Lepisosteus oculatus: one gene and its partner. The protein of the gene in region 2 purifies or fractionates together with the protein of the main gene of each other region. This does not show direct contact. Links are inferred from orthologs where the notes say so. Each region holds a gene or a part of one and is shown on either strand. Other genes may lie near its edges.

What was found. The genes of interacting proteins can lie anywhere in the genome.
Region 1: the proteins of nufip2 (region 2) and atxn2 purify together in Homo sapiens (affinity purification with mass spectrometry; 3 studies listed by BioGRID and IntAct, counting the BioPlex papers as one, with this or other methods). This does not show direct contact. The link is inferred for Lepisosteus oculatus from reciprocal best matches to the Homo sapiens genes NUFIP2 and ATXN2.

Annotation. Positions count from the first base shown.
Region 1 is NC_090717.1:12,985,568-12,992,589, forward strand, and holds the start of atxn2 (ataxin-2), read right to left. Parts: upstream 3,003-7,022; 5' UTR 2,470-3,002; coding exon 2,363-2,469; intron 1-2,362. UniProt on the Homo sapiens protein: Involved in EGFR trafficking, acting as negative regulator of endocytic EGFR internalization at the plasma membrane.
Region 2 is NC_090721.1:9,006,123-9,013,026, forward strand, and holds the start of nufip2 (FMR1-interacting protein NUFIP2), read right to left. Parts: upstream 3,011-6,904; 5' UTR 2,160-3,010; coding exon 2,015-2,159; intron 1-2,014. UniProt on the Homo sapiens protein: Binds RNA.

The DNA of each region.
Region 1 (7,022 bases), on a different chromosome or scaffold from region 2:
TATGGTCCATTCATTAGACTTCATGGCTATTAAACTATTATGACGTGACAGCTTTAAAAACAATGCATCACCAAGAAAATGCTTCTAATGCATAGTCAAGTGCTCCTTTAAAGTCATTTTTAAAAACCCTACTGTTAGCTCCAGCTTTAGAAACTGAGCTTCTCCCCACTCCAATGGACTGGTTGGCTAAATTAAAACATCCCAATTTAGCGTCTTAGAGACGAAATTCCAACACCAATAAAAATAAAAATGACCTTGAAGTGCCTTTGGAAATTTGATCATTGTGAGAAGTGAGAAACATAAAAACTGTGATGTATGGGGATACAGTACCACTGAAATAACCCCTCCAACATTATTCTGAAGTTCAGTAAAAGAAGTTAACATGGAAGTACAGGGCTTAATCTTATTTTAACTATAGTATATTAACATTACTCAAGGACAAACTGAAAACCAGTCATTAGTGACGTCCTTTGATTTTTTTCATTAGGCGTTTGCCCAGAAGCATGCCACCCAGTAAAATAAAATCGAAATCAAGTTCACTACAAATAGTGCATAAACCAGGCATTATCTTGATCAATCCGATTCCCTAAGCACACAAACCAGGTGAAAGTTGTCAGCTGCTCTCCACAGCCTCCCCAAGAACCTGTAAGGATAAGCAAGGCTCTCCATTTCAGCAATGAACACAAGTTCGCCCACTCAATAAGCCCCAGCAGGTACACCCACGTACCCCAACTCGGCGCCCTGGGTTTTTTTCCTGGAGGCAAAGCTCAAAACCGGGCCACTGACACAGTATATTAACACTACACCTTTAAAAGCATTCATGTCAAAGCACTCAAATGCAGGGCTTCAGCTGCGCCCTTTTATCAGCTCAGTAAAGGTATTTGTTGACTCAATAGGTTAATAGTTCCTGATCTAAACTACTTGATGAAAACATCACCGTGTCTACTCCTTGACCGGGAATTCAAACCAGACCTTACTGCAGAGAGCTTCATTAGTCATTTTTCCAGACACGATTCAAAACGCCACTTGTGAGCAATAACGCAACCCCAACATTATTCCTCCGCACAAGAGAAGGTCACAACAGAAGCCGCTGCCGAAAACCCTTTTTTTCTAAAAAAAAATCAGCTTTCACTGAAATCGGCCGGAATAGCGCTCGCAACAGGATCTCCACCTTCCTTTAAAAAAAAAATGGTCTGCCTCTCCATTCACGAGTGTAATTTGTTCAATCCACCCCACCTCCCTCACACAGCGATACACACTTGTTAATGCATCGTGTAGAGAAGAAGGTAACACTGCACAGACAAAACGAGGCGGAAAACGGCATGAAAGGTTACCAGCCAGAGCAGGCCCATGCAGCAAGACGCTTCAAGGTACCCCTTGCCCTCCTCCACGAAACCTGCAGCACAGGTCAGTCTCCCCACCCACCACCCAGCAGATTCAGGGCAAAGCCGCTAGAAAACACTGCACCCCGTTCAAACACTGACGGCGGCGTCAGAGGGGAAGCCCGGATCGCAGCCGGGATGTGGCCCACGAGTGGATTTAAAATGGGGGGGTGGGCAACTCTGCAAGGCCGCTCCGGCTGCACGGATGCGCCCCGGCCCGGGTCTGGCGGCTCCCCCCGAAGGCATCGCTGGCTACACTGGGGGCAGAGTTAACAGCTCTTAGCTGGGGTGGGGAAAGGCCTGTACGGCTACCGGGCTGCCGCAGAGGTACAGGGCTGGGCGCGGAGCAGGGCCCCTCGCTTCAAACGTGAAGCTCTCACGCCGGTGTGCGCAACGCAACAGCGCCTGACGCCTCGGCCAAGGCAAAGCGCACCGACTGCACGGCCGTGCCGGTTCTCGTCCTCACACACACACACACACCAGATGCTGAAGGTCCGGTTGCGACCGACGCCGCGGCTCCGCAGAAGCCGCCCCGGGCACGCAGCCTCTTGCAACCCGCCACACAGCGGGCACACGCCGGCCCTCGCCCGCTACCCCACCGCGGGCAGGGACCGGTCCAGCCTACGGGCTCACGTCCCGCCCGCAGACACACCTCCGTGAAAGGCAGGCGAGGCGTGCAGGTTCGGGCCGGGCCCGACCACGGCAAACGCGCAGCGAAATCGCCAGCCGGCGTGGGGCACGGCTCCCACCGAGGAGGCATTTCAATAACGCTGACCAGCGACAAAAAAAAAAAAAAGCCGAAGGCTGCGTGCTGCTGCAGGAGGCCCGGAAAGGTGCGCTAGGCCCGAGCATTCACATTTATTTCAACAGACATTCACGTCTTCGCACCCCCCAAACCTCAAAACCCCCCCGGGCAACCCACGTTAACGCGGCTCCCGGGACACGGCCGGCGGGGTGTCAAGGGATCTGAAAGCACCGACCTGCCCAGGCTCTGCCGTCCGCCGGTTCCCCCGCTTCCCCCGGCACCAGAGGCCGCAGCGGGGCCGCCGCCGGGTTTTCGGTTACCTCCGGCCTGCTTCATGGACATGACGATGATCCCATAAAAAAAAAAACAACGTACTTAACGGTATATCGGCTAATGTCTGGTAAAGGATACAACCTAAAAAAAAAAAGAGACAACTAAAATAACGATGACACTACCGACGACTAATTTTCGCAATTAAAAAATACAGACTATTTCTTCTTTAAAAGACAGTACGTCGATGATCCTCAGCTAATGAAAGCGTTATTCCTGTCCCGTTGTGTTGTATTTTAGCGACAACAGACAGGATTTTCGGCTTCTTCGGCGTCTCTCTCCGTTGCTATCAGCGAAGGGACCAAAACAGTCTGAGAGAAGACAAAAAACAGCGGAGGGATATATCCAGGGCGCAATGCTGCGTACATCCACCAAATTCCCCTTCCAGCCGCCTAACAGCTCTCCTGGGGGCCAGATTAGCGCAGCCTGCCTGGGGTTTTCAGTGAACCCGATCGGGGGAAGAGGGGTTTTGAGCTGGGGGTCGGTTTAAACGCCGGGGCCGGCGTTGCGGGCCGGCGCACTATTTACAGGAAGTCGGAGGACTACCGAGGTCCTGTGGCCGTGGTGCGCCCGCTCCCCCCCCCCTCACCACCACCACCACGTGAGCCGGCGCGAGGCTCGGCAGCGGGACTCGCGGGTAGGGTCCGCGCGCGCCTGTGTGCGCTGTAGCTGCAAAGACAGCTCACTAATGACACGGCTCTCTAACCGGTTTGCATAAAATTAGCAACACTTTATATCATTTTTCGTTTCACGAATTGGCAGCGTCCACTGATCCCTCTCCCCCGGTTTAATTTTATTTTTATTGTTTTGCGTGTGCAGACTAAAGCCGGATATCCTCGGTCTTTACTGACCGTATGACCCGCTTTCATTTGTTACCTGTCAGTGACATCCCCAATTAGAATAACGTCTCCAGGGCTGGGGCTGGATGTGCATATTTATTGCAAGGTAGAGCTTGACTTGCGTAGTCATCTCTCATTCATGTCACTTTAAATTATAATTCCTTGCTTGCATATAGTACTTCTCATCCCTGTGGATTATCCCGGAGCGCTTCCCACACAACAGGAACCAGTTCCTTCTCCTCTGAATCGCATCAGTTCAGGGGGAGGAATGAGAAACCGCATCACCAGTTCCATTAAGGGAGACTGCAGGGAGACCAGACTGTACGAGAGACCGGTGTGCTTCAATTCAGGATACTGGCACTAACACCCTTAAAGTTTTTGAAAAATTCGAGGCAAAAATGAGAATTTTGTTATGCCCAAGCAGTCTGGACCTCTGCGATGGACCGGCATCCCACCCAGGGTGTCCCGAGCTTTCTGGGAGAGACTCGGGCTCCCCCATGACCTTGCAGTGGATAAAGCAGTGGGGAAACGGGTGGTCAGGACCTGAGCTAAATGTCTCGTTCGGAGGTCAGCACCTCCTCCGTCCCAGTGCTCCCTGAAGCCACACTGAAGGTTTGGTTTGGAAACAGTGGACCCGAGGGTAGGGCGCCCCCTAGAGGTTCTGGGTCACGCCGATACCCTAGCGTTCACCTCCAGGCAGGGTGGGAGTCTTCACAGGCCGCTGGGGCTGAGGAGGTCTCCCGCTGGAAGACGGGACCCCGGAGAGCGAGTCTGACCGAGGGCCACACGAGCGCGTTCGGCCCAGACCTCCAGGCGGGCTGGAGCCTCTATTCACATCAAGAGCTCAGTGAAGCCGCACGGGGCAGCTAGAGACACTCAAGGAGTGAGTCAAGACATCAGCATGTCGCATGTGGCTTATTGACGGTGCCGTTTTGACAAGAGCCAACTCGTACTTTCTAATACAGCAACGTGGGCAAAAACAGATGGGGCGTTAACAGTGGCCCGCCCCTTCTTGGCGAGTGTTGCCGGGATACAGAAGCTGTGAGAGCCAGAGGTGGGCTAGTGTTTGGTCCAGCTGGGTTAAGAGTTTAACCCTCATTTGAAGAAGCAGCAAATAACATTTCAAAAAGCACTTAGGGACAGTTTGTATCTGGGCAGACACATTTAATGCAGATGGGGGCAGGGTCTCACAAGCAGGTGGTAGAAGAAATGAAAATACACCTAACGGGAAAGGCGAGGGTAGAAGAGGGTACTTATACAAAGGGCTTAAGGGCTGATTGGATGAATCAATCCAAGGATCTCATTCAGCCTTTTCTTGCAGATGAGATGCTTGTACTGAGGCCGGGGGGGCAGCCTCTCCTCATTTCCATACCTTTCTTACTGGTGTAAAATCAGAGAGGGGGGTGTACCGTAGCCGTCTTCACATCACACAACCACACATTCCTTTGTCGACTTGTTCGGGGACTGTAATGTGCCACACTACACTGCATTTAAAATAAAAATAGCCAGACAGGTTAAAACGACACACCACACTCTTGAAAAGTTTATTTCCACACTTCCCCCAAAAAAACCAGGGAACAGCTGTTCACAATGTGTGCTCTGTTACACCCGTCGTGTGAAGGCCACCAGGTTGATGCCTTAGTACAATCTGCACCATGTCAGTGTCCTCAGTAATTAGGAACGCTGTGCGCTGCGACACGTACAAACGGATTTTGCCCCCTTCCTCCCTGTACACACACACACACACATATCGGTCATTTTTAAGTTTAAACACACACACTTTGGAGCTTCTTAACACCAGCGGTTCCCAGCCTCGGTCCTGGGGGTTGTTCTTTCATCCTCGTCGTCAGTTACATGATTGGATTTGTAATGGACTTCATCACACAGGATTAATCTGAACTGTGTGGCTGTTGTCAGATGTTACCCTGTGGGAGGTAGCCTTTTAACTACTGCATTTCCTAACTCAAATCAAATTCCAAACTCTTGAGTCTAGAGAGCACCGCAAACATTCCAATCAAGCACCTTATTTAATTCAATTAAGCCTTCAATTAAGTAATTAAATGCAGCTGGAATGAAAACCAGGTGTGTGGGCCTCTAGGACCAGGATTGGGAACCTTTGCTTTGTATCTTAGGGTTGCAGATTTCCAAGCATCTGGCTTGGGCCCACAGTACTCAGGCTAACTAACAGCTAAATGCAGACTGACTGCTATCAATTACCGCCTACAGTAGAATGTTGTATTTTTTTACACTGCATACAAGACTGTAAATTGTATATTGTTTTCTATACTGTGTGTTGTATCTTACTGTATACTGGAAGATACTCTCTTTTGCCAGCAGCCATATCACCCTGCAACTCACAACTGGCAACCCACTGAAGCTAAGCAGGTGTGAGCCTGGTCAGTACCTGGATGGGAGACCTCCTGGGAAAAACTAAGGTTGCTGCTGGAAGGGGTGTTAGTGGGGCCAGCAGGGGGCGCTCACCCTGTGGTCCATGTGGGTCCTAATGCCCCAGTATAGTGATGGGGACACTATACTGTAAACAGGCGCCGTCCTTCGGATGAGACGTAAAACCGAGGTCCTGACTCTCTGTGGTCATTAAAAATCCCAGGGCTCTTCTCGTAAAGAGTAGGGGTGTAACCCCGGTGTCCTGGCCAAATTTCCAATTGGCCCTTACTAATCATGGCCTCCTAATAATCCCCCTCTATGAATTGGCTTCATTACTCTGCTCTCCTCCCCACAGATAGCTGATGTGTGGTGAGCGTTCTGGCGCACTATGGCTGCCGTCGCATCATCCAGGTGGATGCTGCACATTGGTGGTGGTGGAGGGGAGTCCCCATTACCTGTAAAGCGCTTTGAGTGGAGTGTCCAGAAAAGCGCTATATAAGTGTAAGCAATTATTAATTATTATTATTATTATTATTTTGTAGTACTGGCTTAAATAGAAACAGTATTGTTCTCTTTACCCGTCTGTACGCTGAGAGTACAGGCGTGAATAAGAATTCAAATGTACTCGTTATAAAGGGCGAATTAGCTCTACACTCGGACCCCACCTCCAGTCCAGCCCAGGGAGGACGAGGAGGGCCAGACGGGCTCCTCGCTCCTGCCTCCTCCCCAGCGCCCGGCCGGGGAGCTGGTGCTGCGCAGCGGCGCGGAGGTGCTCTGACCTGGCGGGGCGCTGGTAAGAAAGCTAGCCCCAACCCCAGCGATGGCGGAGGGGTGCTCTGCTGGCCCCTCTGCTCTGCTTTGAGCTGGGGCTCAGGTTTCCAGTGCCGGGGGTGTCCACGCTGCCTGGGAGCCCCCCGGCACACCCCTCATCCCCACCACCCGAACTCGAAAGCAAAACCCCATCTGAACTAAGAGAGCCTGTATAAACACCATGGCAGGGAACCTGAGAAACAAAACTGAGAAAATGTAAGGGAATATTAGAAAGAAAGAAAAAAAGGTCTTAATAACTCTTGCCTTTTGATTTCTTTAGACCAGAAAGTGACTCGGATGACCCAGGGAAGGTGGCCATTGTAAGCAGGAGATGTAGGTAAACAGGATCTAGTCATATTTGGGAAATAAATGTGGACTCCTGCAGAATATAGTATGTAAAACACAGCAATGCCCCAGAGAGGCCACCCCCACTGTTGAGAAAATCAAGACAAACGTGCTTTTCACAAGACAGCGCAGAGAGAGCAGTACTCTTTCAACAGGTTTGAACTATATAACTGAAATGAGTACGGC
Region 2 (6,904 bases):
ACCTGATTATGTCCCATCCAATACACAGGGGATCTTTCTAGTGGCAGTTAGCACTGAAATACAAATCTGTGCTATTCCATTACCGTGCTGTCCAGTGAGCTCACAGGCACGCTACACTCCCTACACGTGTTAGACATGGTAGGAGTGAGCCAGTCGCTCCAGCCCAGCAGGCCAAATGCAAGACTAAGGTGAAGGTAGAAATGAGAACAACCACCCCACGCTTGCGCTGAAAGCGACCCTAGTCTGTCCACCACAAGCAGCTTTAAAGGAGCGAGAGAGGGCCTGTGGTGTCTTTGGAAAACAATGTGCGATCTATGGTGATAATCTGACTGATCTTGTGCTGTGACGGCGCCAGAACTGTTCTCTTTTTGAAAACAAAAAGGGGCAACGCTCCACTAAAACCCCATGTGATCGATTCTCCCCGCTGTTCGCGTGGCGCAGTGGGACCCTCTCCACGCCGCGGTTCAGGAGTGGTGGTGCTGATGCACACGAACTCAACGTCTGCCCTCACGCCAACTTGTTTTTTTTAAAAAAACTACACGAAGCGTAGCGTTCTCGGCCTCCCCGCTTCGCCATCATCCCCATTACGCGTCGGTTTGGCTTTTGCGAGCGACTTAAGGCGACTCCGCAACATGTTGCTGGGATTTGCCAAGAAGCGTGGAAGAGCTCGCTCCGCCTCGCGTGGCGCTTCCCCGGCTGCCGGAGCTCTCGGGCACGCGAGATCTCCACAAACTGCACGAGCAGCAGTTCTTCCGCCTCAACACGTTCCTTCTCCTGGTCGGCTAAACGCTTATTTAAAACAGATTAATCGCCCCCCAAATACCAAAAGTGTCCACATACACACACACGGCTTCCTATGAATGATATATGTGTACATACAGCTCAAAAGCATGGCCACTATTAATAAGAGCACAACCAGCCTCACGAAAACGGGTACACGGGCAAATATCCCGAGGAAAATGAAGATGCTATACGAGGGAAGAGGGTAACTGAGACCCGTGGTATTTCATTATCGACTACAACAACCTTCCCAAAAATAAAAAAGTATGTGCTACCAATTTTGGACAAAAACGTAAACTGGGTCAGTTCTCCAAGTTAACTAAAAAACCATCTTAAAGCATTGAGGTGCATCTGTAACTCGCGGCTTTATTTTAAACATTTTTCATTTACTGTTCCGTTTTCCTATTTTACGTGAAAAACGAAAATGACTGGGCACCCCGTCTCCGGGCGGGCGGCTGTCAAGTCCTCTCTGCTGCCGACAGAGGAGACGGGTCTCCGGCGCGGCCTTGCACGGAAGGACACCGTCCCAGGACACTAAAAACACGACACTGGTTTGATCGGATCTTTGGAAGATTCGTCTTTGCGGGTATTTTGCTGCATTTTTGTTGAACACCGGCTCTCCGATTGTAGGCCCCCCCCGCCGCCGCCGCCTCCGGAACAGCAGAGAGCAACAGGGCCCACAGACTCAAGGAGAGCGATCCGGGGTCTCAGTAAAATACTACGCTGGCGCCCACTTTCACCACACAAAACGAGAAAATCAATCCCCTGAACTTCCCGGGGGTGCCACGACGGCACCGACAGCTGTAGAAAGTCATGGTTTGAGAGCCCGGTGCTGGGATTTTCGCTACCAACATGGCGGACAGGAAATAGCAGCCGAGTAAACTGAGGAAAAGCACATTCCAGCGGAGCCGGCTTGTGTTGGTAAGGGGGGAGACGAGCACTCAAAACCCCGCGATTTTCTCAATTAAAACTGGCCCTTTCGCACGACCCACCCCGAGACAGTTCGAGAAAAGAGTCTTTTACTGTAAACCAGCGTGCCAGGCGGCGTCCGCCCTCCTTAGATACGTCTAAAAAAAGTGACCAGGAATCGCTGCTAACCGGCAGCACAAGGTCAATCTCCATATTACAGACAGCTACCCTCCGCCGTCTCACAGTGGAGACTCACGCACCCAACTTCCAGCTCAAATAATTCCCCATCTTCAGCTGTTTCTGGCCTTAGCTAAGCAAACCCGACCTGTTTTCTTCGCCTGCGTTTCCTGGTGGTGGTGCTGGCAGTGGCTCGGCTCATTTTTCAGCGTTTTCCTGGGCCGGGTCGGGCTCCTCTCTCCTCCATGGTGGTAGCGCTGCTGAGGTGCCCGCACGCTGGGCTGTTCCTCCATTGAAGTGTAGCAGGAGACTCCCCGGCTCCGGCCAGTGCGCACTGCTCACCGGGCTCACCGAGCGAGAGAGAGTGGGGGGGGTGCAGGACCGCGGCCCTACCCAATCGACGCCGCGACCCCAGCGCTGCCTCGCTTGGTCTCTGCTGCTGCCGCTCCGGCGAGAGGCTGGACCGAGAGGATCAACGTCAGCAGTCAGCCGGTGGAAGTAGCGCCGTCGGCACCGCTCTCCTCTCACACCAGGCGAACCGTGCGTGTAGCGTGTGCAGGCACGGGGCTCTTTCGCTTTGACGTTCCTCGCCGGTCTCACGGTCTTCCCCGCCGAACATGCATACTGTACATGCTTTTAAATAAAATAAATACCCCTTCGTCTCGGTCTTGGAGTGCTCGGTGGCGGAGTCATATTAACATTTTTTTTTACTTCGATACTTAGTCATACACGCAGGTAGCAGTTAAATACCTTGATAGAGAGGGGGTGCATTATGTACCCAGCCCGCATTCCTGCATTTCACCCAATTTTAGGTGTAAAGTTTAATTGCCTGAACCCCCCCTCCCTCCTCCTCTCTCTCTGTCTCTCCACCCCCTTGTAGCGAGTTTTCCAGAACGTTACTTCAGCCTGTTACACGGTAACCCATTTTTAAACTTCTCGTCGTCACGTGTATATGACTCAAGGGACCCAGGCTGTCTCGGCGTCTTCTTATAGACCGGCTTACAACTCACTTACTGGCCCAGCACCTTCGGAAACGTGTTTTTACTGTACGGTATTCACAAAGACCCGGCACCTTCTGACCCGGTCTCTCGTCACATGAGCGTGACGCTCACGCTGGGCAACCTCTCCCCCAAACACAGTCCTGAAAAACAAGTGTTTCAGCGTGCATGCATCTATACTTATTACCCATACGTGCGATTCTAAATGTTATGTTCTTGTATATTAATCAGTCTCCAACCTATAGCACTTAAGGACTATTGTGACAAGGTGACCGAAGTTAAAATATAGGCTAATTGTCATAGCGCAGAGAAGAGATGCTGGTTTTTGTTTTTTAGAAAGGTTGGTTTTCCTCCACGAAAAGAGATCACTCGGGTGTCATTAAGCACGTGTGGCTGACTAAGCGAATACCGGCAGTTCCTTCGAAATCAGGTGGTTTGCTAATAACACGCAGAGGGGTCGCAATCATCCCTCTATTAATGCTTTTAAGGTAGAATTCCTCTTTTAAATCTTTAAAAACAAAACAGCTCCTCCTCTCCTCCTGTGACGTATATGAACAATCTTAGATTCAAACACCACCCAGGTGCTGTAAGACGCCGCGAATTGTAAGCAAGTAACTACGCGAAACTGCTTTGCTTTATTTAAAGAGCAATAAGATGCATGTTTCAGCAAAAAAAAACATTTCAGTTCAGCATTTTTAAACATCCTTTTAAAAAAATGACGCTACGCCCAATTCTGAATAGGGCGCAGAATGAGATTACTGAAGGCAATCTTCAAGTAGAATAAAGGATTATAGGAACAAGTAATAGGTTTATTCCATGCTGAAAACAGGAAGAAAGAAAACAACGTTTCGGCCGTGGAGCCTTCTTCAGAATTGGGGGTAGCGTCATTTTTTGATACCAGATTATATACCAGTAAAATGTGATGAATGAAGCGGCAGTTTAAGGGTGCTTCTGCAGTTCCAGTAAGAGAAAGTTTATATTACACGTGTATAAATATAATGAGTATACAGATTTTTAAACAACATGTTTGCCTTAGTTAATATTTTTTCCCGAATACGCCCCGGTCCGGCGGTATCACATTAGCAGTAGCCCTTATGAATAAACCTATTACTTGGCCCTTATGAACCGATGATCCAATAATCATATTTAAAAGGCACGATTATATAGAGCGAACAGTTTAATAACAGTTCAAGTGCTCAGGGCTATGGTAAAGAAGCCGCTGAAGAGCGCTAGGAAGGTATAGGGATACCGAGGACGACGATCCTGCAGAAGCAGTTGCAGCTCTAGTCCGGTCCGCCGGAACAGCTATTTGTAGAGACATCTAAGACGCCACCACCCACCCCCTTTCCCATTATAACCAGGCCCGCACCTGCTGCTTGTCACACACAATCAGGAGCGGGGTCGTCAGGCTCGGGGAATGCCGGGCTGGGGCACCGCGGGCGAAGCTTAATGAAAGATCCCTCGTTCTGCCGGAACAAACTCTTCGGCGTGCTCAATGGGAGGCGGGGGCGCGTCCCGTGAATGTAGGGTGAATTTTAGAAGGGGCGCCCCTTTTGTGAAGTCCGACACCCAGTTACACAGAGCTGCGCTTCCAAACGGCAGGAGACGCTCTTGTGAAATAACGGCATTCATAGGCAGGGCCATCATTTAGAGAGACATCCACGCTTTATTTAAATGTGGGTCTTGCCTGCCTATATTGTTAGTACATTATAGCTAGGTTCAATCGCAAGGATGCGATTTTCAAAACATAAGCAGGTCTAAGACATGCTAAGAAAACTAATGGTAGCAGCCGAAAACGGCGCTGTGTCACGCCACGAGTCACCCTTCACTGAGTTCATACTGGGTGAGCAGCACAGGCGTTTTGAGGAAACAAACAGAGCGCATTTTCCATGGCGAGAGGACAATCGTGATTCACACAGAACATCCTGGAATACAGGACGTATTGGCTGTTTGCTTTTCAAAACCCTTCTGCACAATCTCCATGCTCCGCGGCGCCCGCATTCCTCACACCCAGAGTACGGTCTCACCTGCACATGAATCACCGCTGCAGGTACAGCACCTGTCCCCTGCGGTCCAACAGCTCTGCTGTCCTCTACTGCCTCCTAGAGGCTGTAATACGAAGATTTTTATAGATATCAGAATGAGAAAATAATCATCATCATCATCAGTATCATCATCATCATTGCTTACACTTATATAGCGCTTTACAGGTAATGAGGATCCCCTCCACCACCACCAGTGTGCAGCCCCACCCGGTATCACCTGACTTAGTTCAACTTAACTGCACCACAGTAGGTCACTTTAGCGTATATTCACTTGCTAAAACATTTTGTGTGTGCACGAAATTTCGAATGAAGTTTCCTTGTATCTGTCTGATACAGTTAAACTCGGGAAAACATCACACGCTCTATATTATAACCACCAGAAATGACAGGTTAATTGCTTTTAATAATAAAAACAACCCAACCCAGGGATAAGCTCCAGCAGCTGCAACCTTTCCCAGGAATAATAATTGATTTCAGATTTTAGAAGGACGGATGGAAAAACCGCTGCATGACTGAAAGACTCCCCCTGCTGGCCAAGGTTGTAACTGCGCTTCCTGGCGGCCCCCCTCGCTTCTACGGAAACTGCTGACGTGCCGCCTTCCTGGCGGTTTCACAACCCTGGTGACTGTAGAAGAAGCTGATTTCGCCTGTAATTAAAGAAGAGGAACAAAAAAACATAAACAAAATAAAAAGGACGTAAAAATTAGGCTCATGTATAAATCACAACCATCTAACATAATTTTTGAAAAAATAATAATTCTGGCATTCACACAACAAATTCAGATCCAGGCCTCCTTGCAGGACACTGTTGTTTTTGCAGTCTCCCTTTCTGAGCTTGGTGTTTTGCTGCATACAAATTTACTTCCTCTCAGTTCTCAGGGACCACAGTGCCCTGAATCTATAATTCAATGCACTGAATTAATGTGAAGAATTTCTGTTTTGGAGTCGTTTGCTCCACACAAGAAAGGGGTGACTTTTTTTTCTTTGGTTTGTTCATCACCAAACTTTTCTTCAAGCACTGCAGCTTTCCATAACAGCTTGCAAACTGCACAAAGTAATTTCCATCTCACAGAGGGTCACGATTCGCTGCACAGGTGCTTGAATTTAGGAAAGACGACAGTATACAGTGCCTTGCGAAAGTATTCGGCCCCCTTGAACTTTTCAACCTTTTGCCACATTTCAGGCTTCAAACATAAAGATATAAATTTTTTATTTTATGTGAAGAATCACCAACAAGTGGGACACAATTGTGAAGTGGAACGAAATCTATTGGATTTTTGAAACTTTTTTAACTAATAAAAAAATGAAAAGTGGGGCGTGCAAAATTATTCGGCCCCTTTACTTTCAGTGCAGCAAACTCACTCCAGAAGTTCAGCGAGGATCTCTGAATGATCCAATGTTGTCCTAAATGACTGATGGTGATAAATAGAATCCACCTGTGTGTAATCAAGTCTCTGTATAAATGCACCTGCTCTGTGATAGTCTCAAGGTTCTGTTGAAAGCGCAGAGAGCATCATGAAGACCAAGGAACACACCAGGCAGGTCCGTAATACTGTTGTGGAGAAGTTTAAAGCCGGATTTGGATACAAAAAGATTTCCCAAGCTTCAAACATCCCAAGGAGCACTATGCAAGCGATCATCTTGAAATGGAAGGAGTATCAGACCACTGCAAATCTACCAAGACCTGGCCGTCCCTCTAAACTTTCAGCTCAGACAAGGAGAAGACTGATCAGAGATGCAGCCAAGAGGCCCATGATCACTCTGGATGAACTGCAGAGAACTACAGCTGAGGTGGGAGAGTCTGTCCATAGGACAACAATCAGTCATACACTGCACAAATCTGGCCTTTATGGAAGAGTGGCAAGAAGAAAGCCATTTCTCAAAGATATCCATAAAAAGTCTCGTCTAAAGTTTGCCACAAGCCACCTGGGAGACACCCCAAACATGTGGAAGAAGGTGCTCTGGTCAGATGAAACCAAAATCGAACTTTTTGCC